Alligator mississippiensis: one gene and its partners. The protein of the gene in region 2 interacts with the protein of the main gene of each other region in a pairwise test. Links are inferred from orthologs where the notes say so. Each region holds a gene or a part of one and is shown on either strand. Other genes may lie near its edges.

Evidence for each region.
Region 1: the proteins of myomegalin (region 2) and BYSL interact in binary tests that used the Homo sapiens proteins (3 or more experiments, as listed by UniProt). The two-hybrid records come from large-scale screens. The link is inferred for Alligator mississippiensis from reciprocal best matches to the Homo sapiens genes PDE4DIP and BYSL.
Region 3: the proteins of myomegalin (region 2) and SCNM1 interact in binary tests that used the Homo sapiens proteins (3 or more experiments, as listed by UniProt). The two-hybrid records come from large-scale screens. The link is inferred for Alligator mississippiensis from reciprocal best matches to the Homo sapiens genes PDE4DIP and SCNM1.
Region 4: the proteins of myomegalin (region 2) and SDCBP interact in binary tests that used the Homo sapiens proteins (3 or more experiments, as listed by UniProt). The two-hybrid records come from large-scale screens. The link is inferred for Alligator mississippiensis from reciprocal best matches to the Homo sapiens genes PDE4DIP and SDCBP.

The regions. Positions count from the first base shown.
Region 1 is NC_081837.1:38,995,523-39,002,359, reverse strand, and holds the start of BYSL (bystin), read right to left. Parts: upstream 3,015-6,837; 5' UTR 2,741-3,014; coding exon 2,470-2,740; intron 766-2,469; coding exon 600-765; intron 1-599. Other genes in the region: MED20 (mediator of RNA polymerase II transcription subunit 20), read left to right, coding at 3,301-3,314, 4,900-5,054. UniProt on the Homo sapiens protein: Required for processing of 20S pre-rRNA precursor and biogenesis of 40S ribosomal subunits. May be required for trophinin-dependent regulation of cell adhesion during implantation of human embryos.
Region 2 is NC_081828.1:43,503,087-43,510,736, forward strand, and holds the start of myomegalin, read left to right. Parts: upstream 1-4,650; 5' UTR 4,651-4,827; coding exon 4,828-5,970; intron 5,971-7,650. UniProt on the Homo sapiens protein: Functions as an anchor sequestering components of the cAMP-dependent pathway to Golgi and/or centrosomes.
Region 3 is NC_081838.1:20,118,008-20,125,764, forward strand, and holds the start of SCNM1 (sodium channel modifier 1), read right to left. Parts: upstream 3,001-7,757; 5' UTR 2,878-3,000; coding exon 2,827-2,877; intron 2,156-2,826; coding exon 2,085-2,155; intron 1,544-2,084; coding exon 1,455-1,543; intron 720-1,454; coding exon 622-719; intron 541-621; coding exon 440-540; intron 34-439; coding exon 1-33. Other genes in the region: LYSMD1 (lysM and putative peptidoglycan-binding domain-containing protein 1), read left to right, coding at 3,560-3,742, 4,751-5,052, 5,898-6,057. UniProt on the Homo sapiens protein: As a component of the minor spliceosome, involved in the splicing of U12-type introns in pre-mRNAs. Plays a role in the regulation of primary cilia length and Hedgehog signaling.
Region 4 is NC_081826.1:69,523,719-69,531,476, reverse strand, and holds the start of SDCBP (syntenin-1), read left to right. Parts: upstream 1-4,741; 5' UTR 4,742-4,850; intron 4,851-7,758. UniProt on the Homo sapiens protein: Multifunctional adapter protein involved in diverse array of functions including trafficking of transmembrane proteins, neuro and immunomodulation, exosome biogenesis, and tumorigenesis.

The DNA of each region.
Region 1 (6,837 bases), on a different chromosome or scaffold from region 2:
TGCTGCCTGCCACAAACAGAGGCTACACATCTCACAACAAGCTGACCACCCCTGCTCTAGTGCACTGAGCCCCAGACTAGGTTTCAGGAGACGCCAGTTCTAGTCTAAGATCTGCCACAGGGCTACTGTGGACCATGGACAAGTCAGTTCCTGAATCTGTACTTGTTTCCCCCTCTATGCTTTACATGTCTTAACTTTTCAGACTGCCAGATCTTGGGGCTGGGACTGCCTACTGCCCAATAACAACTGGGCCCTGATCTCAGGTACTGCACACAGTATTTAGGAACAGGGAGTTTGTGCCACACATGCATCAGTTCTCGAAAATGGAGTACTATCTGCTGCTTGGCACCCAGAAAGGGGCCATCAGGACTCCTGGGCTCTGTTCCTAGCCCTCCCTCAGACTTCCTTTATGAGCTTGAACAAGACAATTCTCCATGCCTCAGTTTCCCCAACGACAGGTGGGGAACAGCACTTTAGGCAGCCACCCCCATCCATGCGCTTCCATGAAATGTTAACCCTATTCCAGTGCCGCATGGTGGCAGAAGATACTGCCCGCTGCTCAGAAGTGCCACACTGCAGCTCAGAGGCTCATCTTCTACCTTAGCGGTGGATTCGTGTTCATGAACATCTCGATGGCTCTCTCATCCTCAGGGTTCACTGTCACCTCTTCACAATACTCCTCCTTCTCCATGGATGTGGCTTTCTCCAGTGTGGGCCACTCGTCATCGTCCTCTGCATCGGAATCCCCATCGCGAGATGCAGATCCTAAACCAAACAAGGCACGGTTAGGCTTGGACAAATTGGAAAACTAAGCACCTCTGTGCTGTACCAGTTAGCTCTCCATACCATAGTCTCTCATCACCTCTTCTATAGTGATGAGTAGTTTGAGAGGTCAATGTGAAGAAGTCCAATAGCCCAAGCGGATGGGCACCAGAGACTGCCAGGCCTTGGCTGAAGACACAGTGAGGACTGCCACCCACATTTGATTAAACAGAGCACATCTGAACCGCAACATCATTATTGAGAGAGACCCTGCCAATCTGAAGTTCTAATGATTTGAGTTATAAGCAGCTCCCAGTCCTACCTCTGCACCCGCGTTCCCCCTGCTTTTCTTGTAGCTTTGCAATAGCACTGCCCTATTTTTAAACACTTTTTTTACCCCCCAAACCTTGTTTGAGGATGGATGCCCACAGACACAGGGAAAGCTGCCTCAGGGGCTGAGCTTACAGGTCCATGCATTCACACACACCTTTGACATCACACATGAGAGCAGTCCCATCAACTTTAATATACAAGATATAATATTTCTCTTTGGTCTTTCAGTTAGCTTAGATGTTCCAGGTAACAGCAAATAAAAGGTTTTCAGATTTCCCATGTCCGAGGATTACTTTAGGTTGACAGGTGCTGCTCTGAGCAGGGGCCTGGATTAGATGACCTCCTGAGGTCCCTTTCAACTTTAATGTTCTATGATTCTATACTTTTTAATGGCCACATATACATGAAGCAAGTTCCCAAGGTAGAATCTAAATAATTTCTTTCCAGTGCTCTTTGTCAGTATTTGCAGTGAACGTGGTTTGTCCCACAGCTACAGCATCCTGGCCTAGCAACGGCCCTAGTCCAAAACATCACTAGTATGACAGAAAGACATCCATTCAGCTCAATCTGCTAGGTTTGACCGCACAGCAATACCATCTACAGTGACAAAAACAGGCTGACGTGCTAGCTAAGCAGTAGCATGTATGCAGGCTGCTACAGAGCTTGGCTAGAAGGGAGTCTGACGTAGGGAACGATCTCTATTGTAGCAGGAGTACTGAGGGGTGTCCGGTCCATGTCTGACCTTCCCTACTCCCTGTTTATGTTATTAAAATGGAACATAAAACCACAGCTCACCCCTTTTGTCTTTAAGGAGCATACTTGATCAATCAATCCCAGTGGGAATTCATCCCATCCCTGCCCTAGGTCAGCTGCTGTTTATCAATAGACAGGAACAACCTACGGTGATTTAGGGCAGGGAGAATTTCACGTTCAAGGACCCAGGGAATAAAGCCAGGGACTGGACATCAAGAAGCAGGGATTCAGTCCTGACTTTCTTGCAGGACTTCTCTACTTCTGCAGTGTGCTGCTCGGAAGACAAGACCCACAGGGGGCTGAGACCTGCGTTTGTGGGAAGACTAAAATGTCTTTCCTGCCAGAGCAGAGCGGGCTGGACCCGATGATCCCACGAGGTCCCTTCCAGCCCTAAACGTCTCTGGAAGGTGATCAGACACTATAGGGAGAGAGCATGGATCAAAAGGGATGAGAAGGCAGGTGTGGGACAGCGCGGGGTGGTGTAGGGTTTGCCCTCCTCTCCCCTGGAAGGCAGAACCGTGCCCCTGCCAGCGCCACGACCTGCCCTCGGGGCTCAGGGTGGGGGGGATCGAAGGGGATCGGGTTGACATCTCTTCTCAGCTACTCCCCCGCCCCGCTCACCCAACACCGTGGTCTTCCTCGGCGGCTCGGCTCCCCGGCCCGGGCAGTGCTCGGCCTCCAGCTCCTCCTGCTGGATCCGCGCCTGCTCCAGGATCTTTCGCGACAGCTTCTCATCCACATACTCGTCCTCCGCCTCCGCGGCCGCGCCGCGCTTCTTCGTCCTCCGGCTGGGCCGCACCGCCTGGCCCTGCAGGATCTGCTCGGCCAGAGGCAGGCTCCGCACCGCCTCCCCCGGCCCCGCGCTCCCCTTGGCCCGCTTGGCCTTCGGCATGGCGATCCGCGCACACGTGGGCGGAGGGGAGCAACGCGGCGCGCAGGCGCGGATGGAACGTTGCGACTCTCAACGTTCCGACCATTGCGACAGGCGTGTCCGAACGTTCGCTCTTAAAGGCGCCGCCGCCCAATTTTTACTTTCTTTTCTTTTTTCATTCTTTTTTTTTTTTTTTTTTTACAAGGGGCAGACGGGGCTGATGTGTGTAGGCCAGAGCTGGGACGGGTGTGAGCTACTGAACCGCGTGTGAAGGGCAGCTGCTCGTCTGTCCGCTGCCCACGTGCCCCCGGATCAGCGGCGGAGGAACCCGCGCTTGCCCGCATCAGCAGCGGGTTGCCCCTGTCTCCTGCCCCCCCTCCATCCCCTCCCAGCGTCGTAGCTCGGCCTCCCCACCCACTTCTGGCCGCCTGACATCATTTCCTACTCGGCTTCCCACCCCTTCCAGCGGGAGAGGACGGGGCTGGGCTAGAAACTCCGCTTCCTGCTCGGGAGAGGCGGTCCCCGCGCCTGCAAAGAGGATCCCGAGTAGGCAGGGGCTGGCCGGGAGCGCTGGGCCCAGCATGGGGGTCACCTGGTAGGGCCCCGGATGTGTGCGGGCTGGGGGGAGGCTTGCAGGGAGCAAAGGGGCGAGGGCAGGTGAGATCCCCCCATGGGGGGAGGGGTGCAGGCTGAGCTGCCCCTCAATGCACAGGGGTCTGAAGATCCAGGCCCCACTCAGCACCCGCCTGCGGTACCACCACCGGGAGCAGGCGGTGAGGAGTGGGATGAGGCCCCTGGTGAGCAAGGGGCTGGGAGGTAGACAGGGTTGAGAGGAACTGACAAGAGATCAGGCTGGATCAAGCCAGGTCAGCGTCGCAGCTGCAAATACAGGGCTGTGATGGCACCAGGCGTCAGGGGCACGGAGGTGCCGCTGTATCAGAACAGAGACGCAGGGTCCCCTTGGCAAAAAGGCAAAATGGCCTTGGGGACAAAGTCGTGCTCTGGGTGTCTGCTGTTGTCACCGGAACAGGGCAGACGCCGGGTGCGAAGCAGTCCTGCCTGGCCGAGGCTTCTTCCTTGCGATGCTCGTCCTATGTTTATAGGGGCGGCAGGAATGGCATCGGGCTGTCGCTGTGGCACTTTGTGCAGGGCAAATAACCATTGTCTGTAGGGCTTTCTGGGTTGTGGAGAACAGCAGGGTTGACATGGAGTGGACTGAAAATGCCAGACGTGGGGCTTTTGGGTGTGCCTGCCTGCTCTTGGAAGCGAGGGTTTCTTCTGTGGACCTGTCTCTAACCTGAGACAGGACGTCTTTGTAAAAGACCCGCTATCTAGCTCAGGGCTTTGTACTCACGGAGCAGTCCATCCTCCATTTCTCTCGCAAGCTAGCAGTGCAGGTTTATCATCAAACGTTTCACTGGAAGCATGAGAAAAGTATGTGGGACCTAGCAGTGTGTGTGGCCCACCGGCAGACCCCATGCCAAGGCCTCACAGCCCCTAGTTTGGGAACTGCTGCTGTCGTTCAGCAAGGTAGAAGTTACCGGGTAAGGTTCTGTGACCTGTGTTGCATAAAAAGCCAGATTACATGATCACAGCGGTCCTTTTACAGCCTTTAGAGGTGTTTGTTACATTTGCTAGTCGTGTTTAGTACTGTAATGCTTCAGGCACAAACATGAACAAGGCACTGAGTAGCATCGTCCTTGCCCTGAGAAGCCGAGAGCAGCAGTTCTCATTCTTTTTAGACTCAAGGCATCCCTGGATAAATTAGAGGTGCCCGTTAGAAAGTGCCGCCTCTTAGTTTTCATTTCTTGAACATGGGAAAATAATAGAGCAGTTTTTCCAATGTAAAGCACTCAGAAAGCCCTCAGCCATGGAAGTCTGTTTGAAATCTTTGGGTTTGTATAACCAACTGTGCTAACATTATGTGGAAGGATCTCAGGGTACCCCAGGGTACCCTGGCACCCTGGTTGAGAATCACTAGTGTGAGCGGATAAGATAGATGAAAGTAATGCTGACAGTACCGTCCAAATGCTTTACAAAGCAAATGGTCATCACGTGTCGGCTTTTAATCTCTGTTCTAGATGCAAAACGCTGTTGTCTGGCTGTATTGCATTCTGCCTTGGTTAAGGTGTCTCGGTATCTATGGTTATTGACTCTTTTCTGTAACTCCTCTTCGATAGTGTATCTCAGATGCCAGTGGCAGAGGGGAAGAGTGTCCAACAGACGGTTGAAATCCTGACAAGGAAACTGGAGCTGCTCGGAGCAGAGAAACAAGGAACGTTTTGTGTCGACTGTGAGACCTACCACACAGCTGCCTCCACCATGGGCAACCAAGGTCAGCCTGTCGTTTCGCTATCTGAGTGAAATGCTTTGCAGAGAACCTTATATTGGCTGCAGTAGCTGGTAGCTCTGGTTGGGTTGAACTCTGCTCTCGTAATGAGTTAAATTATTGTCCTCTTATTGTTCTAGCTGGGAGTGCTAAAGCCAGCTCTGAGGCCTCTTCTTTCTCCTGTTTATACCTTTCTTCTCTCCAGTCGTCTCCCCAGCATGGTGCTACTGAACTGGATTGAACTAGCGGTAGGAAGGAAGAGCTGGTCAGACAAGCCCGGTCTATGCTGTATAATCTTGCTAGCGGGATTCAGTTCTACCTCCTGTAAGCATGCCCCCACTCAAAGCTGCTATGTGGAATCAAAATCTTTTTCTTTTGCCGGCAGAGTGAATTCATCTCTTGGGCAGACAGAAGGCTGCTATTTAACAGCTAACAAAGGCTTATATGGACAGGTCTGTACCACCTTCTGGCTGCTGTGGTCCCATTAGCATAGGGCTGAGCAAAATTGTGGATCCAGCTGGTGGCTGGACTCCATTACCCAGCAGCAGTGGCATCCTGACAGCGCGGGGCCAGGGTTTCCATGGAGACTGGCCCCAGCAGCGCTGGCAGAGCACATGGCTGGGCAGGGAGCTATTCCGGGGCTGGGATCTTTCAGCAGTGACAGCGTGGTCCAGAGCCAGGGCAGAGCCGCGATCTGCTGCCTGCACGCCCCTGCCCAGGGCATAAGGGCAGCAGGTCATAGTTTTGTCCCAGCCCTGGACCACGCTGTCGCTGGCTCAAGATCCTGGCCCCGGAGCAGCTCCCTACCCAGCCCCGCTCTCTGCCAGCGCTGCTGGGGCCAGTTTCCGTGGAAACCCTGGCCCCATGCTGTCACAGTCCTGCCCTGCCGGGGTCTCCATGGAAACTGGCTGCAGTGATGCAGGCAGGGGCTGCTGGGAAATGAAGTCTGCCGCAGGCTTGATCCACCAGACTTTGCCTGCCCCAGCTTTAGCAGCTATGTCCCCACAATGTGGGCCATTCTGATAGGGCTGATGGCATGGAGCTCTGCTTTCACTCTTGTGGCTGTTGACTCCTGGTAAAACTTTTGCCCTCCAGGTAGGAGAGAGACCTGAGGTCTGTTCTCTGACCTGGGTGTGATTCTGGGTGAGGTATGGTTAATCTTTGTGCCTCTGTGGTTTTTTCCCCCACTTCTAAAATGAAATAGCAATCCTGACCCACCTCATATGGGGTTGGAGGATTCAATTCCAGGTTGGAAACACTTTAGGAGCCTTAGAAGACAGGTGATTGTAAATGCATGGTATTGTTCACTTCTCTACAGAGTTGTTATTGCAGAGCTAGGGTGCCTCACACCTTCCAGAATGCATCTGTACTTAAACCTGGGAAAACCAGGAAATGCAGAGCTAAGGACATGTCTGCCGTGCCTCACAGCCTGTCTCTTCTGGCTGGCAAGACCTCCTGGGGTATACTGCAATTATGCTTCAGGCACAGCTGCTCTACAATAAGCAGATGCAGGGAATGTGTAAATGTGCCACATTATACTCTCCCGTTTATCTGCATGCATCACCCTTGCTCTCCCTTGGGCCAGGGACAGCTGTATTTGCTGCCACAGGGATGGCTTACAGCTGCATTGAGATCATAGACTTTTCCTTCTTGTGCTGAGAATCACGGAGGTGTGAAGTGACCTCATTCATCAAAACAAGTTCTTAAATAACTGGAGTTGAATACAACCTGGGCCGAGGTGTGAATTGATCCATTCATCACTGTTCTCCTTCTCCCTTCCACTGTCTGC
Region 2 (7,650 bases):
AACTCTTGGTCCAGGGATTCTACCTTTTATTAAACCAATATTTGACACCAAACTCAGAGTGGAAGCCTGCCAGCCACTTTGAATGCATGCACTGTGGCTGTCAGGCTGCAGGCTCTGTGCTCCGATGGACGATTGTGTTTCTGGAAAGGATTTGACAGCAGTGCCTTTACATCTCTGGACAAATGAGCAAACACCGGGCTCTAATACGAGGAATAAACAACCCTCCCCTACCAGGGCCCCTGAGGCTCATGGAGTGCAAAGTATCCCTGCAGATGTCAAACTACCAGGAAGAGCAGCTGCTTAATAAAATGCTGATGGCAAGAAAGTGGAGACTGCTCGCTGTCCAAAAATGAATGGCAACACACCCCTTCACTGGGCTCCTGAGCATGGCCAAGGCAGGAGCCCCACCTGTTCTTCCTGAATCAGCTCTTGCCGTGGAATCCTGGTGCCCCCTGTTGGTCCAACAGCCCATTCACCACAAGCAAAGGAGCTTGGTCAGGATGCCAGCACAGGCTGCCTTTAGCAGAGAGAAGCAGAGCTGTTTTGTGCCACACAGGTGATTCTTACCTCTTCACAGCAAGATTGCTCTGTATTAATCCTCTGGCATGTCTTTTTCCTAGCCTGACCATGCAGGTGGCTGGAGTTACAGGCAATGATGCACACTACAGAAAGTCTCATGATAGCAGCAGTTCTCTTGTCACAAGGGCCAGACTACAGGTGACATGTGAGTTCCACCCGGTTCATGGCCTGATACAATCACATTGGTTAAATCCTTGATTTCCTCAGTGGTGAGCTCTGGCTACACTGATAAATCTTGCTGAAGTCAGTAGACTTGCACCTCTCCTTGGTGTTTTAGGGTTGTTAGTTGTTCACTTCATAAATCTACTGGATACAAAAAATCATGGACTAAATATAGGCAGACAAGGTTCTTTGGGTAAATCTGATGTCTTTTATTAGACCAACTCAGATAAAATAATCTAAGAAAAATAAATAATATAATAAATCTAATTTGTAAAAAAATAATTTGCATTTGAGGCCAAATTAGCCAAAACTAATTCCACATCCAAGAATCCGGAACCATAAACGGCCCTACTACCAGCAAACATTCTCCACCCATACCTGGGGCCTCAGATGTTTCCAGATCCTTTGGTGGGTGTCCTACTTGCAGGTCCAAGCCCGGAGGCTTGGGGTTCAGATGCTGCCGAGTTTTGCTTGCCCTTAGCCATAAGCCCCTCGGAGTAAGCAAGGGATGAGTCTCCCATTTCCATAAACTGGGCTTAAAGCCACTACATCTCAGTGGGTACTGAACCACGCCAGAAGAGCAGTTGCCCTGTGGGGTGGTTCAGGAAAACTGCCTTCTTGGACACAGATGCATGGTATTTCACCTGCCAGGTTAAGAAGCCACTGCACTTATCCTGAGCCCTCAAGAGGCCTGCACTTGATCTGAGCCTTTAGTACTCTAAAAAAAATCTAATAAAAATAGTCTAATAAAAGATACTAGATTTACCCAAAGAACCTTGTCTGCCTATGTCCTTAAACCAACGTGGCTACAACCTATATACCCTTGGACTAAATATAGACATTGGATTTATGGCACGTTATAACTTGGCTAACATTTGATAACCCCAGGTAACCTGTCTTCATTTTACCAGCTACATTCTATCACCAGTTCAACATTCCCCCTTTCCTCCCTGCCCCAAGCTGTCTCCTACCTATTGTCTCCCATTCCCTCTGATCCTCACTGCCACGCATTTGCATTTTCACAGACCTGCATTTTGCATTTTGGCTTCTCTTCTGTAGGCTGTTCCTGTACCATAGAGAGACCTGTAGGCTCTCTCTATGCCTGAAGAAGGGTGTTTGTGCCCAAAAGCTTGCAAAGAACAATTTTTCCAACTACCTAGTTAGCCAAATAAAAGATATCACATTTACCCAAAGAACCTTGTATCCTAGGTGTTACATTTGAAGGATTTTCCCTGTAAGCAAATGAGCCAAAATGTTTTCCTTCCTGAAGGACGCTGGAGCACAGTGATGTGCCTGCAGTACTCCAGCAAGACACAAACCCAACAGCTTCCAAACAGCTGGACAGTTCTGCCTTCTAGAAACAGGAAACGACAAAGCCCTGTAATTGCAGGCCCTCTTCCCGGCTGCAGTGAAGAATAATGCCACCCTCCCCCCCCCCCCCCCCCCCGGCCTGTCATTGCAGAATGAGTGTCTAGGCTCTGAAGCAGAGAAGCTATAATTTGGGCAGCTGGCTGGCTTCCAAATCTATAGCTTTTAAGCTTTCTGAACGACATAGTACAGGACGGTCTCCAGGGGGGCTTCCATCTGCTCCAACCCATTATCCCACTTCCTGGGGAACGGTAGCCAATTGAAACAGTTCTGCCTGCTCAGCAGGTATAGCAGGCTTCTCTTCCACCCTTCCCCCCACCCTCCTGCTCTCTGCACACAAAGGGTTGGAAGATTTCAACCCTTTCTCAGATTTCTTTCTCTTCCCGGTCTGCATGTCTGAGGTTTTAGATGGTTTCCGGGTTGTTGCTCTGCTGTTCATTTTTTGTCATCTAGTTTGTAATAAATTGTTTCACAAAAAAACCCCAGACTTCAGTGCTTCTCAGAGCCACCTTCTTCCCCCACCCTCTTAAAATTATCCACTCCCATGAGACCTACAAAATACTTGGTGGTGGCTCTGCACCTGGCATGCTGTGATTGCTGTGTTTCTTGTGCCTGCCTGCCTGTTTGCTGTATCCACCAGATTTTGGAAGCTCCATAGAGCAGGCACCATTTCTGTTACATTGGTACAGCACATTGCTGGGCAGTTAATGGACAGTTAACATTAACTGGTCTCTGGCAGTATGTATCATCAGAAGGACTAGAGTTTGTATGGACTGTGGTTATTGAACAAGCCCTTTCTCTTTTGGATAGGGGCGGTTTCTCCAGAATTAGGGTACATTAGTGAAGGATGATTTGATGGATGCTTATGTTGCAGAGGTAAGGGAGGGACGACTTATTTCTCTGGGGTAAAACAGGCTTATTTCACCACCAGTGGCAATTTCACTAAAAAGCTGAGTTTTGACCTGCCTACCTGGATGATGATTTCTGCATTAAACTTTTCTGTACCTGTTAGGTAGAAAATGAATCCTGATGCTGTGAGTCTTAGTTTGTGGCTGGTGACACAAGAAGCTGGTTGGTAAAAGGCACCATTTGGGTGCCAGGAGGCACTGAGTAGACTGGCTACCACTGGGCTTTACATAGCAATAGGTAGAACTGGTACAGCTTTGTGGGCAAGTGGCAGTGAGAAGATTGATTGGTACATGGAGTGGGTGAAGCTCAATATCGCATGGCATTGGATGGCATGCGTCAACGGGTTGCTGTGAGGTGGGGCCAGGAGCAGGTGGACCCTCAGTGGCAGGAGGCTCTGTGCAGGTAGAGCATTATGTGGCTCCGGGCGGTGTTCAGTGCTGAGTAGCGTGAGGAGCCCTTTGGCAAGCATGGCTGGGTGACTGAGAGAAGTCAGGGTACATTTGCACCTAACAGACTAACAAAGTCAGTGATGCATCGCCTTTTGTAAGTAGTGGCTGACTTCATCAGATGTTGGGAAGGGACTGCAGGAAGCAGAGCTTCCAACTAGAAAGCAGCTGTTGGCATACAAAGGGGAGGGGAGAGGAAACCCAATAGGAGGGGGCACTGCTGGCAGAGGCAAGCTGATGCATCTCTGATGTAGTAGTCTACAAGGTGCATCTCTACCTTGCCTTTTGCCTGACTTCAGATTAACACGGCTAGTTACCTCCCTCTGCTCATGGGTGATTGGGCCAGTGTGTGGGTGCTTAATGTTAGAACGGGTGGGGCGGCACTCGCCATCTCAGAGGCCTGAGTGCTTGTTGTTGTCAGGGGCCTGGCATCAGCAGGAGGCAGGGAGAGAGGCGCAGTGCCCCTGTCCTGGAAGAGCAGGCACCTCTGGCGGGAGGCAGCATAGGGCCCAGTATCAAATACACCAGGGTGGCACTGGGAGCAGGTAGCGAGCGCAGGGGCTTGTGCACGGGGCTGGGGGTGCAGGGCACATCCCTGGCTGTGGCTGGCACTGCCTGGGTACACAGAGAGTAACCCTGGATCACGATCCTGGCTCCCTAAGGGCCCTCCACAGGCCCCGGCCCCTGGAGGTGCGGGACGAGCAAAGCTGCCTCCACCCCTGGGGCTGTGCCAGCTGCCAGCATCAGCTACTCCCTTGCCAGCAGTGCAGCTCCTTCTGCGCATGCGGAGGAGGCGCGGAGGCCAGGGCAAAAACTGCTGCTCCCAGAATGCCGCTGGGAGGACGCATGCGCCGTGCAGCCGGCGACGCCATCTTGCAATCTGAGCCGCAATCGGGCAGCCTCAGTGGCAGCGGTAGCGGCTGCGGCAGCAGCGCTCTCCTCCTCCTCCTCCTCCTCCTCCGCGCCTGGGTCGGGGCGGCGGCGCCCGGGCCGCGTCTCCCCGCGGGGCTCGGCCGGGGCGGCAGCCTCCTGCTCTGAGCCGGGCGGGGGCAGATCGGGGGTCCCCGGGGCGGGGCCCGGGTGGTTTGGGGGCGGGGCCAAAGGGGTGGGGGCGGGGCTAGGGGGGCTGGCAAGAGGGGGTGTCTGGCCAGGCGGGGCATGGGGGAGCCCGTGTAGCCGTGGCCCAGGGGGGTGCATGGGGCTGGGGTGGCTGCGCATTGCCTGAGCCAGGGGAGCCCCTGGGGTCAGGCCTGGGGGATCCCCACTCCCAGGCCTTGCGGAGGCGCTGAGGGAGCAGTCGGGGCTGGAGAGCGTCTGCGCGCAGGTCTGGGCTGCAGCCGGGGGCCAGGCGCCGGCGAGGAGGATGCGGGACGCCTGCCGCATCTGCGCCCGGGAGCTGTGCGGCAATCAGAGGCGCTGGATCTTCCACCCGGCCTCCAAGCTCAACCTGCAGGTGCTGCTGTCCCACGTGCTGGGCAAGGAGCTGTGCCGCGATGGCAAGGCCGAGTTCGCCTGCAGCAAGTGCGCCTTCATGCTGGACCGCGTCTACCGCTTCGACACGGTCATCGCCCGCATCGAGGCGCTCTCCATCGAGCGCCTGCAGAAACTGCTGCTGGAGAAGGACCGCCTAAAGTTCTGCATTGCCAGCCTGTACCGGAGGAACAACGGCGAAGAGCTGAGCCCTGATGACAAAGTGGGGGATGGCACTGTGGACCTCTCGAGCCTGCCCGATGTCCGATACGCGGCCCTTCTGCAGGAGGACTTTGTCTATTCCGGGTTCGAGTGCTGGACGGAGCACGAGGAGCAGGCCTCAGAGTCACACAGCTGCCACGCTTCGGAGAGCGGGGCTAGCCGGCCCAGGCGATGCCGGGGCTGTGCTGCTCTGCGCGTTGCGGATTCTGACTACGAAGCCATTTGTAAAATCCCGCGAAAGGTGGCCAGGAGCATCTCTTGTGGGCCTTCTAGCAGGTGGTCTGCAAGCGTGTGCAATGAAGAGCCACCCATAGGCGAGCTTGGAGCCACTGAATCACCCAATGCCAAAGTACCTGCGGATGGAGACAGCATGGAGGAAGGGACTCCCGGGTCCTCCATTGAATCCTTGGACACCACTGTGGAGGTCGGCTCTTTGCAGCAGAAGGAGGAGGAAATGGACAAAGGTGGAAAAGGCAGTGGGAAGTGCGACTGTTGCTCCGATGATCGCACCACTCTAAACTCTTCATTAAATAGTAATAGGTTGGAGCTAGCTCTTAGCCTGATCAAAACCTGTGACTACAAGCCTGTTCAGAGTCCCAAAGGCAGTAGGTTACCTGTTCTAGTGAAATCCAAGCCCAGCCACGACACGATGGATGGAAGTCCTCATGCTGGTTTGGTGACGACTGGTTCTGGATTCCTGAACGCAGATGTGAAGTCCTTTTCCCGACCTCCTCTGGGCTTTCCCTTGGAGATGTCAGACCTGCAGGAGTTGTGGGAAGATCTCTGTGAGGAATATATGCCACTTCAGGTTCAGGTACAGGTTGATGAACAACACTGCAATTTAACAGAGGTCCTGCCATCTTGGCTGAGAGTCCAATCTGGATTCAGGTGTGCTGGGATAATACAGATAGCCAGTCCTATCTGAGCAAAAGGCTAGGAATGGGTAGCTAGGCCCTCCAACCGCTCTCCTTATACACACCTCGTCCCTGTTCTCTGACATTTCCATGGTATTCTTTTCCTGGTGTGTTTGAGAAATGAGCCCTCCATAGGTTTCTAGCATCTTGCCTCTTAAGTTTCCCTGAATCAAGGATACCAGCAAGGTTTGGCTGATATTTCCCCTTTTGTTTCTTGTTTCCAGCCAAGCAAACACCAGTTTAATTTCTCCTCATTACTTTCTAGGGAGTAAGTTTTGAATCTGTTAGTTTAAAGGGTGTAGTTTAAGCTGCCAAATGCTTCTTTAATAGCAGTTCAGTTTTTATTTGGCCTTTGTAAGTTATAAAGTTATAATTTGTAACTGATCTGTTCTGGAGTGGTAGGAACTGCTTTTTTTGCAGGCAGAGCTCCAAAATCGAATGCTCTTTGTCTCTCCCCAGTTTTCCCGATTTGCTCAGCCCTCAGGAATACCGTTATGCTGTTGGCAGTGAGGGTGTTGTCTTTGCAGATAGATTTGCTCCATTGGGTGACTTAAAGCTAGCATTCTTGGTAACTGATCCTTTAAAAAAGATTTAACAATCAGTAGCAGTCACTGCTGAGAGCCTGTGAGCTTTTGCAGGAATTTCAAACATTTTAACCATCTGCATAGATTCCAGGTAACATTTACCTCTGGATTTTGACTGCTTTTTTGCCTGGCTTTAAAATTCTTGCTAATATATGATCACAGGCCTGCACCTGTATTTCTTTTTTCACTTCTCTTACCACCCATTAAAGTCTTATGTCAGCTTTAATTCAGCAATATTTATGTCAGTCTAATTGTCTTGGCATTAGCAGGTTTAGTGCTGTCTAATTTTCCAGGTAGCCTCAGGGATTAGAAAGATACTTGTTTACTACAGAAGCAACTGTAGCTCTATTGGGTGATTGTTCTCCTTATGCAGTGAGTTGTGCTCATTCTTTTCCAAGCTCTGGCATTTTCCAGGGGTGTGTACTTTTTCCACAACAGCTTTTAGCATGAAAACGTGCTACGGAGGAAGCCAGACTGACGGAAGCTGACAAATTCCAAAGCATAGTCTGATGATCCATTTGTCACCGGTAATTGAAGATTTGCTGACACTACCTAGGGAACCTTAAAAAGTGAAGGGAAAATGCCATCATCTCTGTGTACCTTGTTGCCTGTTTTTTACCATTACAGACTGATATACCAAAATAGGGTCTTTCTTAACGCACAGGTTTTCCACCATTAGTTCGTATGGTGATTACATGACATTTCAGTTGTATCACGCATCTTAGCATCTTCATTGCGTCTCAGAATTACTTACAAAGGGTTTCTTCAAACCCCAGCCTCTGTCATGTGTTTGTCTTTCTGGTGAATCTTACGCTGAGTTTTTCATTTCCTGTTTCTTACCATGGCAACAAACCCAACACAGAATGATGTCTTCAGTGCTAAATCTGGCATAAATCGAAAGCACTCATTCCACTTTAACAGAAGGATTGGAGAGTCAGAGTTGCCAGTAAATAGGTCTCATATAAATCCCAGGCCTTGGCCTCACCTCTGTCCTTA
Region 3 (7,757 bases), on a different chromosome or scaffold from region 2:
CCCGGCTGTGCTCCCACACGGCCTCCATCGCACCTGGAACAGGAGGAGACAAGGCCTTGTTCAGCAGTATCTCATGGCCACGACTCCTCCTATGGGGACCCCACTGCCAAAAGAACCCAGGAGTCCCAACACCTGGCCTTCTGCCCTACTCTGTGACCCTTGGATCTCACTCCCTTCTCCCAGGTGACATCTTAATGCAAAGCAGGCCAGGGGGAGACAGCAGCCTCCCTGCGCTGTTTCTCTCATGTGTGACCTTTAGCTGGTATAAGTCAGCAGAGCACACCTGAAGACTGGGCCCCTAGAGCAGGCGGTGTAACAGCACCCTTACTAGGAGGTAATGGGATAGCTGGTGGTGCTTCCCAGAAGCAGCTGCCTTGTCCAGGCTGGGAGCAGGTCTCCCCGCAGCCTCCCGCCCATGGCACATATCCCCCAGCCCTACCTGTTCCTCCGGCAGCAGCTGCTGTAGGGAGTGGCTTTCAGCAGGGCGCTCTGGGTGATGGCGCGAGTCTGAGTCAGCAGGGGTGCAGGGCATGGGAGGACCTGCAGAGAACACAGACAGGGTGAGGGTGGGGCTGGGGTCACTGGTGGGGGGGGGGAGGCAGGGCCACGTGTGGGGCTTACCTGTGTGCCCGTCTCCTCTGCCCGCAGGAATTCCTGCTGCTGCCACTTCTGTAACTCATTCTCCCGTGAGTGCTTCCTCCCGTAGAAGGTCTGCAGGCCTAGAGACAGGGGGAGGCAGGGGCCTGGGTGAGCAGAGCCCAGCTCAACCCAGCTGGAGGCTCACGGTGGGGGCACAGACCAGGGCCAGCATGGGGGGGTCTCGAGCTGAAGCAATTGGACAAGGCAGTTCTGACATGCTGGGCTCTCTGGATGGCACATGGCAGTCTGCATGAGGGCTGGCCCTGATGAAATGCCTGTGGGAGCCCTGGGGCTGTGGAGGTGCTAGGAGGGCTCTGCTGTCAGAGGCAGAGAACAGCAGGGCAGGCAGCCAGGAGCGGTTTAATCCAGAGGTGCCAAACATATGGCCTGTGGGTCAGACCCAGGCTGTGGAGCTGGGTCATCTGGCCTGTGGGGCTCCCAGAAGGGCTGGGGATTCAGGGGTGCAGACCACGGCTGTGATATGAGGCTGGAGCAGTGGATAAGCTGCATCAGTGTGGTTCTCAGAGGAGCCCCTGATTTGGCCCATGGGCCAAGAGAGTTTGAAACCCTTGGTCTAATCCAGCCCCTGCCCCCAGCAGGACCTGACCTTACCCCAACCCCGATGGCTACTGCCCGACCTGCCAACGCCCAGGAAATCTGGCCTGGCGTTCTGCTATCTCGACCGGGTCAGCGGAACCAGTGGAGCCTAGCGGGTTTATAAGGGATTTGGTAATGAAATAGGCTGGGGCTGCTGCCCTGGCAGGGCCCTCCTGGCCCGGTGCCCCCAGGCTCAGTGCCCCCAAGCATTGCCTTACTGGCAACGTGCTTCTTGCCGGCGCGATGCACAGTCAGCATGTCCAGTGTGTCGAAGACAGGGCGGTGGAAGCACACGGTGCATGCGTACCTGTGGGGGAGACAGGGTCAGAGTGGGCAGGAGACATGGGTCCATGTGGGGAGACATGCCAGGCTCCTTTCTGGGGCATTCATACCCATAACCACGGCCAGCTCCCCAATGCAGCACAGCCCATGGGACTCGCTCCGTCCCACCCTTGTCTTTACCTGGGAGGAAAAGGCAGGGGCTCAGCGACCGCAGAGGGAAGAGAACTTGGTGTCCTAACCCCTCACTACAGGACTGACGGATCAGGCTCCCTCCCGCACAGTCTCGTTACCCTCAATTAAAAGCTGGGGGAAACTGAGACTGCAGAGAGAAGTGCCTCTCCCGGAGCAAGCCCAGAAGCACTGACTTCGTGGCCTCCTGGGATAAACCAAGACTTCCTGGGACTTTCCGAGAGGGGCCTGGGGTCTAACGAGGCTGAGACCTACCCTAATTGTGCAGCCCGACCCAGACAAGCAGCCGAACAGCAGCACAGGCTGGCGGCCTGGCCCCAGTGGGGCTGTGGCTGGGTTCCTCTGCCGGCCCTGGGGCTGCTCCGGCCCTGACCCACCTGCCAGTCCTCAGCAGCAGCGCCTCGTCCTCCGGGATGTAGTTGGCCAGCAGGTCGGACACTCTCCTTTTCTGCAAGAAACCCCTAATGAGGAGGGGGCCTGACAGGCCTGAATGAAGCTAAGGCCCAATGCGCTGGACCGCTCCTCTCTCGAGCACAGAAGTGACTGGTGTCACGGGAGCGACGGTCTGGGCCCAGGGGATGCTGCAGCACAGGGCAGGGAGGCAGCTGGACACGGGGAGGAGGCAACAACCGTGGACAAGACCCCTGTGACCACCGTGTTCCCGGCCCCGGCTCCCAGACCTGGGCGCAGTCCAGGCAGTCTCTGGAGGGGCAATGACAGCCCAAGGCCCAGGGGGCTCTGTGACGCGGCGGTGGGTCCCCCTCACCTCTGCCATCGGCCTCACGAGCCCCCCATCCCAAGGGAGCAAAGACCCCCGGGAGGGAGGAGCAACGAACTGCCCCCAGCCCCACAGACCCTGGGGGGGCAGGGTGTGCTGGGGGGGGAGGGGCAGGCCTAGGTGGGGGGGCCTGGGGGGGTGAATGAGCAGGGTCTTTGGGGTGGGGCTCGGGGGGGGGTCCCTCAGCAGCATGGAGGGGTGGAAAGGAACTGGTGGTGTCCCATGGCAGGGCTAGGGGAGGGGCTGGGGGGGTCCGTTGGGCGGCGGGGATGGGAGAGGGGAGTGCGGGGGTCTTTGGGCAGGGGTGGGGAGGGGCCGGGGTCACCCCAGGCCCCGCCCACCTGCAGCACACGGAGCTGGCTGACATCGTCGCCCTCGCGCTTGAAAGCCATGTCGCCCCGGCCGCGACTCCGCTCCGCGCTGCTGAACCCGCGCAGCCACCGTAGACCGGGCAGACCGGCCCTCTTCCGCTTCGGCCCCCACTTCCGGGCCGGCGCCTCCCGGCCTGCCTCGCGGCGGGGACTGCAGCTCCCGGCCTGCCTCGCGCTCGCCCGCGCCAACCTGGGACCCGCAGGCGGCGCCCGAGTCACGCCGGGAAATGGAGTCCTAGCGCCCTCACCCCGCCCCTCTGGGGGCGGCCATTTTGTGAGGGGGAGGAGGACTACGTGTCCCAGAGGGCTTTGCGTGTGTGGCTCTGCTCTCCGCTCTTCTGCTCTGCGAGGCTGCGAGCGTTGCGCTCTCTGGGGCAGGGGTGGGGGGCATTAGGTAGCGGGCGTTGAGGCAGGGGTGTGGGCACTAGAAAGGGGACAGGGGTGGGGGCATTAGGTAGGGGACACTAGAAAGGGGGTATTGAGGCAGGGGTGGGGGCACTAGAAAGGGGGCAGAGGGGCATGGGGTAGGGGTGGGGGCACTAGAAAGGGGGCAGGGGGGCATGGGGCAGGGGTGGGGGCACTAGAGGGGCTGGGAGCATTGCTCCCCCTGGCAGGGGCCCTGGCATGAGCTGCCCTGCGCGAGGCAGGTGCAGGCCGGGGCTGTGACCCCCTTTGGCACCTGCCCCCCGGGTCCTGCCCCAGCATGGCCTCCCCACCGGCCAGGCCGGGGTCCCCCGGGGCGGCGGGGCTGCTTCACGGTGGCCGGGCGCGCTCCTACGGCAGCCTGGTCACGTCGGCGGCGTCCCCGGTGCGGGAGCGGCGGCTGGAGCATCGCCTGGCGCCGGGGGACACGCTGCCGGGGCTGGCGCTGCGCTACGGGGTCACGGTGAGGCCCCGGGGAGCCTCCTGGGTTGGGTTCCTGGTGCTGGGAGGGCAGCGGGGCCGAGGGGTTAGTGCCAGGGCCCGGAGCCGGGACTCCTGGGTGTTGTCGCCGGGATGTCTTGGGCCCTGCTGGGGATCAGGTCTCCTTGCGTCTTTGCTGCTCCGTGAACTGCGTCCCTGTGACCTGGAGCAGGGCTCGTCCCTGCTCTGTGCCTCAGTTTCCCTATAGCAAAGGTGCCTCGTCGACCTCGCTCTGCGTGTGGGGGGAGCGCATGTATATGGGGTGGCTCGTTCCTACACACGAATGCAGGAGATGCTCTTCCTGATGCATCCCCTGGTCCTGATTGTGTGGACACACATGTGTTGTCAACCCACACGTGCGCATGTTCCCGCACGCCTACACACTTGTGTTCACACACTCTCCCTCTGTATCTCCTCTCCTTTCCCCTTTGGCACTTTCTGTGCGTGCCGGTCCTCACACGGCTCTCACAAGGGATCACTTTCCCTTCCCATCTGACTCAGCTGGCTTGGGGTGGAGGTCTGGGCAGGCCGTGGGCATGTGACTCTGTTTACTCATGGGATCTGAAATAGCCCTGGGCCAGCCCCAGGCCCTCCAGCTTGGGCAGCTCTGGCAGGGTCCTGCCCCACATGTGCTGCCCCCTGCTGGACTGCTCCTGCCACTGCCCCTGGGTTTCTGGGGTGCTTTGTATCCCAGTCTCTGTGCCAGCCTGGTTTGGGGCTCCAGCAGGGGAGTGGAAACCTCGCCCCCAGCCCGACTGGGACCACTGACAACAGTGCTGCCATCTGCATGCAGCTGGTCATGGTCCAAGTTTCGCGCTCTCAGTGAACTCCCACATCCTTCCCCCTGCCCTCTCCTTCTGCTGGATCCCACAGGGCTGGCTGGGTTCATGGGTGTGCTCAGCCCCAGAAGTGGTTGCATTTTGGCAGCAGGGTGTAGTGGGATGGGGCAGGCGCCTGATGGGAGCTTAACCCTGCATGTGCTTCTTCGCAGATAGAGCAAATCAAGCGCGCCAACCGGCTCTACACCAACGACTCCATCTTCCTCAAGCGGACACTGTACATCCCGGTCCAGGTGCGGGCAAAAGGCTTGATCCTGCAGGAGGGGGAAGGAGCCAGGCAGCCCCCTGAGGGTGAGGAGCAGCCGGAGTCACAGCCCCGGGATGGGGATGGAGCCAGGGCTGGTTCTGGCCTCCGCCACGATTTATCAGCCATGGATTTCCTGCGCCAGCTGGACTCGCAGATCAGCCTGTCCAAGGAGGCCGCAGCCAAGAAGCTGCGGGAAGGGAAGATCGCGTGAGTGCCGCTCTCGCGTTGCTGTCTCAGCTGGGGATCGAACCTACCACCTGCTGGCTAGGCTTTAAGAGACTCTTTCTTTGCCTCCTGCACGGGGTGGGGGTTCCTGGACCGCTCCATGGGGCAGGAGGAATTAAAGCCACCTCAGAGAAGTACCCAGGAGGGCATTTCCCCTGGTGCCTGAGTATACGGGACTCCCACTCCCCTCCAGGGGGCTCTAGTTCTAGGGCTAGCCCAGCCCAAGCCACACAGAGGGTGTGGGGCAGAGATGGGAAGTGTGGGGTGATGATATTTATTGATAACATCAGAAACTAAAAATGAGGGGGCGGGGCCTGCACCCCAGGGGGCTGGGGTTGCACCTTGCTCTTGCCCTCGAGGGGTATCTGTGTGGGGCAGAGCAGAAACACGACATCCCCTCCCTTTTTCTTGTGTGACATGCGGTGAGACGCCCCAGCTGAGACTGCAGCGGTCCCCATTCTGCCCCCCCATTGCCTAGGAGATCCTGTTGTGTTGCTATGGCCGCATGGTTTTCCAGGGAGACTTGCAGTGGGGGGATGTAGCTATCTATGGGGTCTGGGGGCACTAATAGGGGATCGTAGCAGGCAGGGACATTGGGACCCAGGCAGAGGTTTGTAGTGCATCAGAGAGCCTTGCCCTTCCTGATCAAGGCAGCTGGTTGAACCTCAGCCATGCTTTCTGGGGCAGGGAGGTTCTCTCCCAACTGGCAGCATGGGGCAGTGGTTGGAGCTGGCGGGGGTGCAAGAAGAGAGATGTGGGCGTGGGGGGCAGAGAAGAGCCAACAGAAGGCATGGGGAGCTCTGACTGCCTCTCCTCCCCCCCTCCAGCATGTCCGGGGCCGAGGCGGGAGCTGGTAGGACGGTCCCTGGGCGGAACGAGCCCTCGCCCCGCACCCAGCAGCGCTCTCTGCTGGGCCCAGTGCCGCTCACCAAGACGCTGCGGGCTACTGTGCTGCGGGATGAGGAGGATGAGATCTTCAAGCTCTGACTTCCCCGGATCCTTGTGGCTTTGGACTACTGGGCCATGGCACTGGTGGCGCCTGCAGCCTTCGGAGGAGCTGGTTGGAGGGCCAAACCCTCCCCCCCACCTTCATCCTGATGCACGGGTCTTGGTGAGCGTGACACACATGTGAAGGGCTTTCACAATGCTGCTTTGTTCCCACGTGGCCTTTCCTGCCCTGTCTCAGCCCTGTGGGCAGATTCTACCCGCCAGACCCCCTGCCCTATCCCTGCTGGGGCTCCCTATGTTCTCGCCCCACCTGCCCCACTCTCCCCTCACCAGGCAAGAGGGGGCAGTGCCAAGTTCCACACTGCCCTCCAGCCCCCTCACCTGCTGGGTCTCAGCTGAGGAGACCTGATGCCCGGTCCCCTGTCAGCACCCCCTGCTGATGTCCCCCAGCCCTGGTCCCCAGCCTCCCGGCCCCTGGTCTCTACCAGGCACTAGGCCAGTGGGAGCTGGACCAGTGCCCGTTGCCGGCCCACTCTGGCCCTCCACAGCAGGTCTGTTGACACCCATCTCCCTCCCCACTCATGAGCTGCCTGGCATTAGGAGAAAGGGCCAGGGCCTGAACTTGAACTTCTTCATCACTTTCCACCAGTTTGCTGTCAGAGGGTCCCTTACTGGATTCTGCTGACTGGCACCAGGACCAAGGGCAGGGAGACCCCAATCTGACCTGCTAAGGGTCACGGATGAAGGTTTCTTGGTCAGGGGGGTACGTGATCACCACAGCAGGCAGCAGTGTCAGGAGGGGAGTAGGGTGCATAGAACATATCTCTTGGGCTCCTTCAGGGGTGAGACACACCCCCCCCTCCCCCGTCTCCTTCACCTTCACGCTGGGGTTGGGGACCCTCCTCAGTGAACAGGGGCCCAGCCGAGCTCTGGTGCCCGTGCTTGTAACCAGCCCCTCTTGCCATGTACTCATCCCTGGATCTCTAATAAAACCTGGAGGAAATAACTAGGGTTTCCTTCCCTTTTATTTTCATAGCGACCTCCTAGTAGTGCCCTGGGGACCCTTTGGGCCCTGCCTGCACTGGTAGGGTCCTGAACCATGCCCGATCCCAGGCACTGTGTCTCCGGCAGGATCCAGCCCGCTGCTTCCATGCAGCTCCTGGGTTAGTACAGATGGGCTTAGAGAGCGGCAGTGAAGGGCACAGCTCAGCAAGGCCTGAGGGTGCAGATACATCCCTATGTGCTCAGAGGCTGAGCCAGCAGGGGCTGCCGCTCAGCTTGGATGGGCATCTGCAACGCTGGGGAGTTTTTTTGGCTGAGGGACTCCTGATCACTAGGGATCCTGGTTTTCTGTGATTAAAAAAACTCCCCAATTTTCAGTTAAAAATAGTAACCCCAAGTCCACATTTTTCTGTGATTAAAATGAAACTCCATTAATATATAGATATAGATATATATAGTGGTGTTTCATTTTAATCATGGAAAAAGTGTGGATTTTGGATTACTTTTTTATATCTGAAAAATAAGGATTTTTTTTTTTTTTTTATCAGAGAAAATCAGGCTCCCTGCTGATCACTGTCTCTCAGCCCTCTGGCAGCCATGGGTGGGAGGGTGGGGTATGCGCCCTGTCTGGCCAGCAGGGGGCAGTGTGTGCATGTTCATGCCCCAGCGAGGGGGGCGTGGAGTTGGTCTGGTGGTGCCCTGGGGCCTGGAGTTGCCTGCGTGCCTGCCCCCCATCC
Region 4 (7,758 bases), on a different chromosome or scaffold from region 2:
TTGATAATGTCTATGTTTGCTCTGAGTAATTAAGTGGTATTATTGCAATCAGTACACTACCTCTCCCTTTCTCTGTCTTGTGTGGTTATTATACGTACTCCTTTTGTCTCCCACATTAATTTAGGTCACAGCTCTACAATTCACTGACCAATGATGGACTCATGCTAGTGTGAATCCAGGGGCAGATCAGTGCAGTGGTGAGGTTATACCCGTCCCCCTTTTGGACCATGCCATGAGAGCAGCAGCTAGAGACTTTTTAAAGTTCCCAAATCAAGAATTATTCCCCCTCCCTTTCCCTCCATACTCAGCAGCATGTCCCTTTCTCTCCCATTCCCAAAGTTTTTTACTCTTTTACTTCCCTTCTGTTAAGCAACTAATTATGCTTACACACCAAGCTCACCAAGAGAGCCATGAAGTGGGCAGCTGTCCTATTAAATAAGTCTTCAGATGACAATATTAATGATTCTGAAAATGATAAATAAAATTAACAAGTGCTTTCCTTAAAGTTCAGTAGAAATAAGGAAATTCTAAACCATCTATAAATATATATAAATTATCTACACCACATCAGCAGGGAGCCCCAAGAAAGGCAGGGGTGAGCTTGCCCCACTCCAATCCACTGATGTGCTACTATGTGTCATGACCCAAGGGTATGATTTTGTGTGTGCTTCGGCACTGCAGAATTATTTCCTGCCACGAGGAGCTTTCTTTGCATGGTGCAATTCTCAGTTGCATAGAGAAAACCCTGGTGCAAAGGAGTTCCCGCCATTCGCATGCAAATTTGTGTCCCACTATTGGCTGTTTCTAAATTATTCCCACATGGCGGCTAGCAATTGGCTTGCTAGCCGTATAAGAGGCTTGAGCGGTTTCCGCCTAAGTTGGAGATCTCCAGGGAGGACCTCATTTAGGAGGACTCCACATCCATCTCGTGGAGAACTCTAAGTGCTGTGGAGCTTAACAAACCCCGCGTGTGCCTTAGAGGAGAATACAGGGGCCTGATCAACCTCTAGCCTCTCCCTGTCGCCGCCTAATCCCTCGACGTACCCTTCCCTGTGCGCTTTTGGTCCACGGAGCCTAGCAAACTTCGTGTGTGTGTATCCAGAGCTCTTTCCGGGTTTAAGAGGCTCAAGTTTTCTACGGGTCTTGTTCGAGCGAGTTTTCTTTTCATTTGTAACTGCAACTTAAGCGAAGTTTTTCCTGCCTGCACCGCGACCATCTACAGTGTAAGTAAAATAATCTTTAATCAACCGCTACACATCCGTGCCTAATTCTAGTCCGCCGTGCCGAATTCCCCAACCCACGTGCCAGGGCTGCTGGCCACAGTCCGCCGCGCGCCCCTGAAAGCCTCGGACTGCTCCCAGCCCGCACACAATGCTCAGAAGGTTTGTCCCCCAGTGCTGTTCCAGACTTATCTTAGTGTCTGCCAGAGACAGAGGACTCAAGAGCGGACAATCAAAACCAGCCCAGAAAAGCCTCACTGGGGAACTTTTGGTCCACATAAGTGGACTCAGATGGGCTGGGGAATATTCAAACTCTACTCGTGATTGCATGACAGCAGCAAAAATAGCAAATGAAGCCCTTTCTATAAAGCTAATGTTGTGCCAACATTTTTTAAAGGATTAAATGGGACAAGCCATTATAAACTTGTCAGCCTGGCTTTGATCCAGACAAAATAATGGCACTGTTAGTATGGAATGCAATTCATAAATAATTAAGGGAGGATAATACAATGGCTGCCAGTCAACCTGAATTTATGGGAAATGGATCCTGTAAAATTCATCGGATATTCTGTTCTGATGAGATTGCAAGTTTAACTGATGACGGTAATAGCATTGATGTAATATGCTCAAGAGTATGTCAAGTGCATTCACTTCTAACTGCACTCCAGTTATACATAAAGTAGTGGTTCTCAACCTTTTTGAAGAGAAGGCACCCCTCACTGGACTCAAAACACCCCTCCATATGGTATTTCCATTTTAAAAGCTAATTTATATAGTGCAGTATTTCCTTCCTTGCAGAGGGACTGGGCAGTAGTGGTGGAGGACTGGCCAGGTAGGGACAAATCTGAACCTGTGCTTATCTGCTTATCTCCCCACACCTCATGGCACCCTTCAAAAGATCTGGGGACACCTCGGGGTACCCTTGTTGAGAATTACTGACAAAGTTAGCTTTATAATAGATAGCTTAGGTAATAGCTAGGACAGCATGACACACTGACTACAAAACTCACCTGAGAAGCTAGCTTGCACAGTGTATCATGCTTTCATGGATTATACTGCTAGTTGTTCATTAACTAGCTAAACTTAATATTAGCTTGGGTTACCTATAGGAGCTGCAGTTACAGTAATGAAAATCTGTAGACTCTAAGTCACTTACATTGTTATGGCCTAACACTTGGGGTGCCTATACACAAGCACGGAGGCTGCTCCAATGCATCGGATGCACTGCGCATTAGAGCGGACTCAATGCTTGGCAATTGCTATGCTCTAGTGGTCTCTTGCAACTCATGTATCAGCATCCCCACACTTAAAAATGGTGGTGGGAGCACTTGAACTATAGCTCATCGAATGAGCTTTAGCTACAGTGGCCCTGCCACTTTTTAAAAGTGGGGATGCTGATACAGGAGACATTGCAGCACCTTAATTTGTGCGGCTCTCAAAGCCACTCTAATGAAAGTGCCATCCCCCACCCTGCACATTAAAAAAAAAAAAAAAAAAAGATCCAAATACAGAACACCAATAACTAGATTCAAAATTGTCTGATATCTCAAAATGCATGTATGCACTTGCAATGGGGAAAACACGTTTGAATGACTGTTTCTAGAGAGGCTCAGCAGTGTTTGGTTTTTGGTTACATCACTTGTATCAATAACCTGTTACATGTCAGAGTTCCTTACATGTAGGAAGCCTCCCTTAGAGAGATTGGATTGGTTTTCCCTTATTGGCACAGAGTTGGTTATAGCCAAGGCTAGGGATTTTGACTGGGGTATGCCAGTGCTCCTGCTGGACTTACAGGGTCCTGGATAGACGGTCTTGCCCCTCTGCTCAGGGTCAGACCAATGGCCATATTTGGGGTCAAGAAGGAATTTGATTCCACGATCAGACTGGTGATGACTGGGTGGGTGGGTTGCCTTCCTCTGAAGGGGGGTGTGGCCCTCTACCAGGGACCTCTTGAGTGTATATTAACCTTTTCCACAAGCAGGGTTTTGGCCACTGTGGTCCCCCTGCTTTGCATGTGGCAGGTGAGCTTGTTATGTCTTGCATTGTCTCAGGGTCAACCGTAGTTTTTCTAAGAGGTTGGAGTATGGGTTTGCATAGGGATGGTCCTGCCTCAGCACTAGCACTAGATGACTTCTGGAGGTTCCTTCCAGCGCTACTGCTCTATGACAAATCTTAATTAGGAAAGGCAACACAACACTTCAAAAAGCAGTGGGTAGTGCAGTATCGAAGAGCAACAGTGATCAAAACAACATGTGTTTCAAGTCTCATTCATGTGTCTAGAAACAAAGGGCATTTATAGACATGTTCTGGGAGGTCCCGGCCCACCCTGCTTCTTTTTAAGCAGCTCCGGCGGCGACTCCTTCTGGTTTCTGGCTGCAACCACCGCAGACCCCCCCAAGAGTCAGAGTGTAATTCAAACCCTAGCAATCCTGAAGGCTGCTGGAGCATGTTAATTTCTGCACTCCAGCAGATTAATCGAGTTTGCTGCCACGCCCTGCATTTACGGCATATCAGAGTAGCCACCTTGCACATGTGTAAATACCCAAAGAGGGCAGGCTGCACTGAGATCTCCGGGGAGCATCCTTGCCAAACAGTACCATAGCAAGGCGGGTGGTTTGAGTGGAGCAACTGTTCTGGGTGCCAAAGTGAAGGGCGGGGCACAGGATGGAGCCGTGAGCGGCTCATTTGGGGGGGCACAGGGATGGGGGAGGGCAGCTCCTGCAGCTGCATGCACTCCTGGACAAGCATGGGGGGTGGCGCCCCCGGATCTGCGTGGTGGGTGAGGGCAGGCTGCTGCTGCGGGCTTGCCCTGGGCACCAAACGTCCTGGCTATGGTACTGTCTCCAAAACAGATGGTATAAAATCCGGGTTGGAAGGGACCTCAGGAGGCCTAGTCCAACCCCCTGCTCAGAACAGGACCGTCCCCAGCTAGATCATCCCAGCCAAAGCTTTATCCATCCTGGGTTTAAAAACCTCCAAGGATGAGGAGCCCACCACCTCTCTAGGAGCCTGCTCCAGCGCTTCTCCGCCCTGCTAGGAAAAAACTGTTTCCTAATATCCAACGTAGAGCTCCCTGGATGCAACCGGAGACCTTGTCCTGTCGTCTGCCAGCACCGAGACCAGCCTGGCCCCATCCACACGGGACACGGGGGCGGCGCTGGGTCTACCCCCGGGGGTGTCCCAGGGGCAGGTCTGCGCGGCTCGGCTGTAGGCGCGGGAGACCCTGAGGCAGAAGCAGGGGACTGATTTCCTCCGCCTTTCCCGGCAGCGCAGCAGCCCTAGCAAGGCGAGGCCGGCCTGCGAGACGGGTGCGAGGAAACAGGGCAGGGGGCAGAGGAGCCACCAGCAGAAGACGACGGGGCGGCACATCGGACACCGACCCGCCAGGCTGCGCGACAGGCGCGGGGCCCTGGACAAGGCGGGAGGGGACAACACCCCTTCCCCCGGGCCCCCCCGCGGGCTTCCCCCAGCGTACGAGACTCCCCACTGCGTCACGGGGCGGCGGACAGCGCATGCGCGCGGCGCCGTGGGCGGGGCCAGCCGTTGAGCCGCAGCTGGTAGCCTCATAGCGACGGAGCCAGGCCCAGCTGACGTCGCTGCTGCAGCAGTTCGCCCCGGGCCGCCCGGACGGTGAGTAGCGGCGCGCGCCGCCCCGCCCCGCCCGGACCTCTGCCCCCGGGCGAGGGGGGGGAGCGGCTCCCCCCTTGCCCTGAGAACGGCTCCCCCGCGGCCGCCGGGGGGCGGGGCGGGGCGGGGCGGGCAGGGGTGCCGCGTCTAGTCTTGGCGGCCCCGGCCGCTGCCTCCGCCTCAACCCCTCCCTGCTGGGCCGGGGGAGGCTGCGGTGTCGGAGCTGCGTGGCGGAGGGGAGGGGGGTGGTCTGGCTGGCTCTCTGGGATCCGGCTTTTTGTTGCCCTCGTCCCGCCCGCGGGCCGCAGCTCTGTGCCGTGGAGCGGTGCGTCACGGGCTGCTTGGGCGGCGGCGGCGCCCCCAGCCCGGCCCGGCAGGAGGCCCGAGATCAGCGCGGCCGCTCCTCAACCAAGAGCCCTGCTCCGCTCCCGGCTGTGTCCCGGGTCGGGCGGGGGCCGCAGCCTCCTACGCTAGCGGCGTAACGTTGTGTGCGCGTGTGTACACGCACACACATTCCCCCCCCCCTTGTATTTATATGTGTATGTACACACAAGATAAATCTCTGTAATCGCAAGGTTTATTTTGTGGGTATGTACTTGTATTTGTATAGATATATACATATAAGTGTGCGTGTGTGTAGGTAGATAGGTATCCAAGCCATAGCTGGTTTGGTTTAGAGGAAAAAGCAATCGGGTCTAAAGGAAAAAACAAGCTGGTGGCGGAGGTGATAATATCTTTTATTAGACCAACAAGATTTGTGCAAAAAAAAATTGTCTTTAATTGCAAGCTTTTGGGCACAAACACCCTTCATCAGGCATCGGAGAAACTTTTATAATCCTCTGTCCGAAGCCTGGTGATGAAGGGTGTTTGTGCCTGAAAGCTTGCAATTAAAGACAATTTTTTTTGCAAAAATCTTGGTCTAGTACAAGATATCACCTCTACCACGAGCCCTGATTGCTGTGTGTATAAACGTGTACACACATGCGTGCACATATCTACACAGACGTGTGTAGATATGTGTATGTGCATGTATAGAAAAAATATGAGAGAGAGCACAAGCTTTCCTGAACCCAAGTTCACTTCATCAGATGCTGTGAAAGAATGCGCAGGAAGTAGAGTGGGAAGAGAGAGAAATCAGAATATAGAAGACAAGAGGGGAGAGGAGGAGGGTGCCCAGTGTTTGAGAGGAGAGCAACAACTTGAGTGGGTTGTGGATGAAGATGCAGTTGCTGATGGCTCCTCACCCATGAATGCCCTAGCGTGAAAATGGTGGGCCAGGCACTGTGGTATCAGTGGTTCCTCCCTTCTGAGGGATTTTCTTCTTGTCTTCTATACCAGTGGAAATTTTGGCTTCAGCTGCAGATAGGTCGGGGCAGGTCAGTTGGAAGTCAGTCAACCTGCTCATCTATTGCAAGGTTTTGCCCAAAAAGAAGGCTTGTCATCTAGCAGGAAGCTGAAGTTCTAAAGATACTTTGTCACTGAGGATTTGTAGGCAAAGTGACAATTCAAACATTCAGGCTTCATATCTTTAATACATATCTCTTTGACAGAACAGGGGAGGCTTGTGAATTTGCTAGTTCTTGGAAGTCTCATTTTTCTAGCCTAACTCTGGGTTTCTTTGCATTGAAGTTTGAACTAGTAATTAATCTTTTAGGTAAAATATCATTTTTGATAGTAGTAGTTGAGCCAGTGGAAATGGAAGTGTACATGTGATTAGCTGTCAGTGTCCTACTTCTGTTCCTCCAGGTAAATTTTTCCCCAAGTAGATCATAGAAAAGGAAAAGGAACAAGAAAAAACTTCTCTAGCAGTCAGTCTCCAGACAAAGGTTATCAGAATTAAGGATCGAGTAATCTATATGAACGAGGAGCTTTCTAAGGGTGCTGGTGATTATTACCATTTTTCTCCTACCTGGTCCTGTTCCTCAACTCCTGTTAATGTTTACTTTTGTTTTAGTTTGTATTACCTATTTTATGCAAAATAAATAAGCATATAAATAATAGACTAAGATGACCTTCTACAAACTTGACCCATATGGCAGGGAAGGATCCCTTTCCTAGAATAATATAATTTTTATCTAGGCTAACTTTTGTCTCTGTGGTTTACTATTAAAAATTGCACCCTTTATATAACTCTTCTTTACATTATTGGAGATGTCAGGTTATTGGAATACCTATTACTACCTAAGATGCAACGAAATTCCTTATTAAAATCAGTTTTCAGTACCCCTTCCCCCCCTTCCCTCGCAACAGACTTACCAGCCTGACCTGGATATGCTCCTGGTCACCTGCGTGCTGTGCTGCAGCTACACGCATGTGTCATTTATCAGCCACATTGGTTCTGCATATCCCCTATGACCTTTTTAAGTACCTCTATGGGTATGATTACCCCTAGTTGACAACCACTGTCTTAATTAGTTTAGATTTATATATTGTTGAAGGTGGATGCATGTTTCTATCGCAGACAACTGATTTGCAAATCTGTTTAAAACGAGCATACGTTTTATAAGTAGCAGGAAGATTTATTTGGAATAGACAGTCCAAATGAAACTGATTTTTACACTTTTACCCCTCCCCACCTGATGAGGGAGAGGCGAGGAGGAGAGGGAATCATTCCAAGGCTGAAAATAGCATATGGAACAACAGGCTTTATTGCTATCCCTAATCCTAATTTCATTTAAAAATTGCTTTCTTTTAAAGAACTACCAATAAATTTGCCCCTAAAATTGTATATTACTCTTATGTAGAGCCCCCTGTTGACTTCAGTGGGGGTTCAGATACATGGGGCTTGGAAAAATTTTGGTTGCCTGGCCTGTTGCCATCCAGTTCCAGGAGAAGGTAGAGTACATTCACTGTACTTTCCATATGATCCCTTGGGGCGATGCATGGTTAAGTGAGACTCCAAGTCTATAAT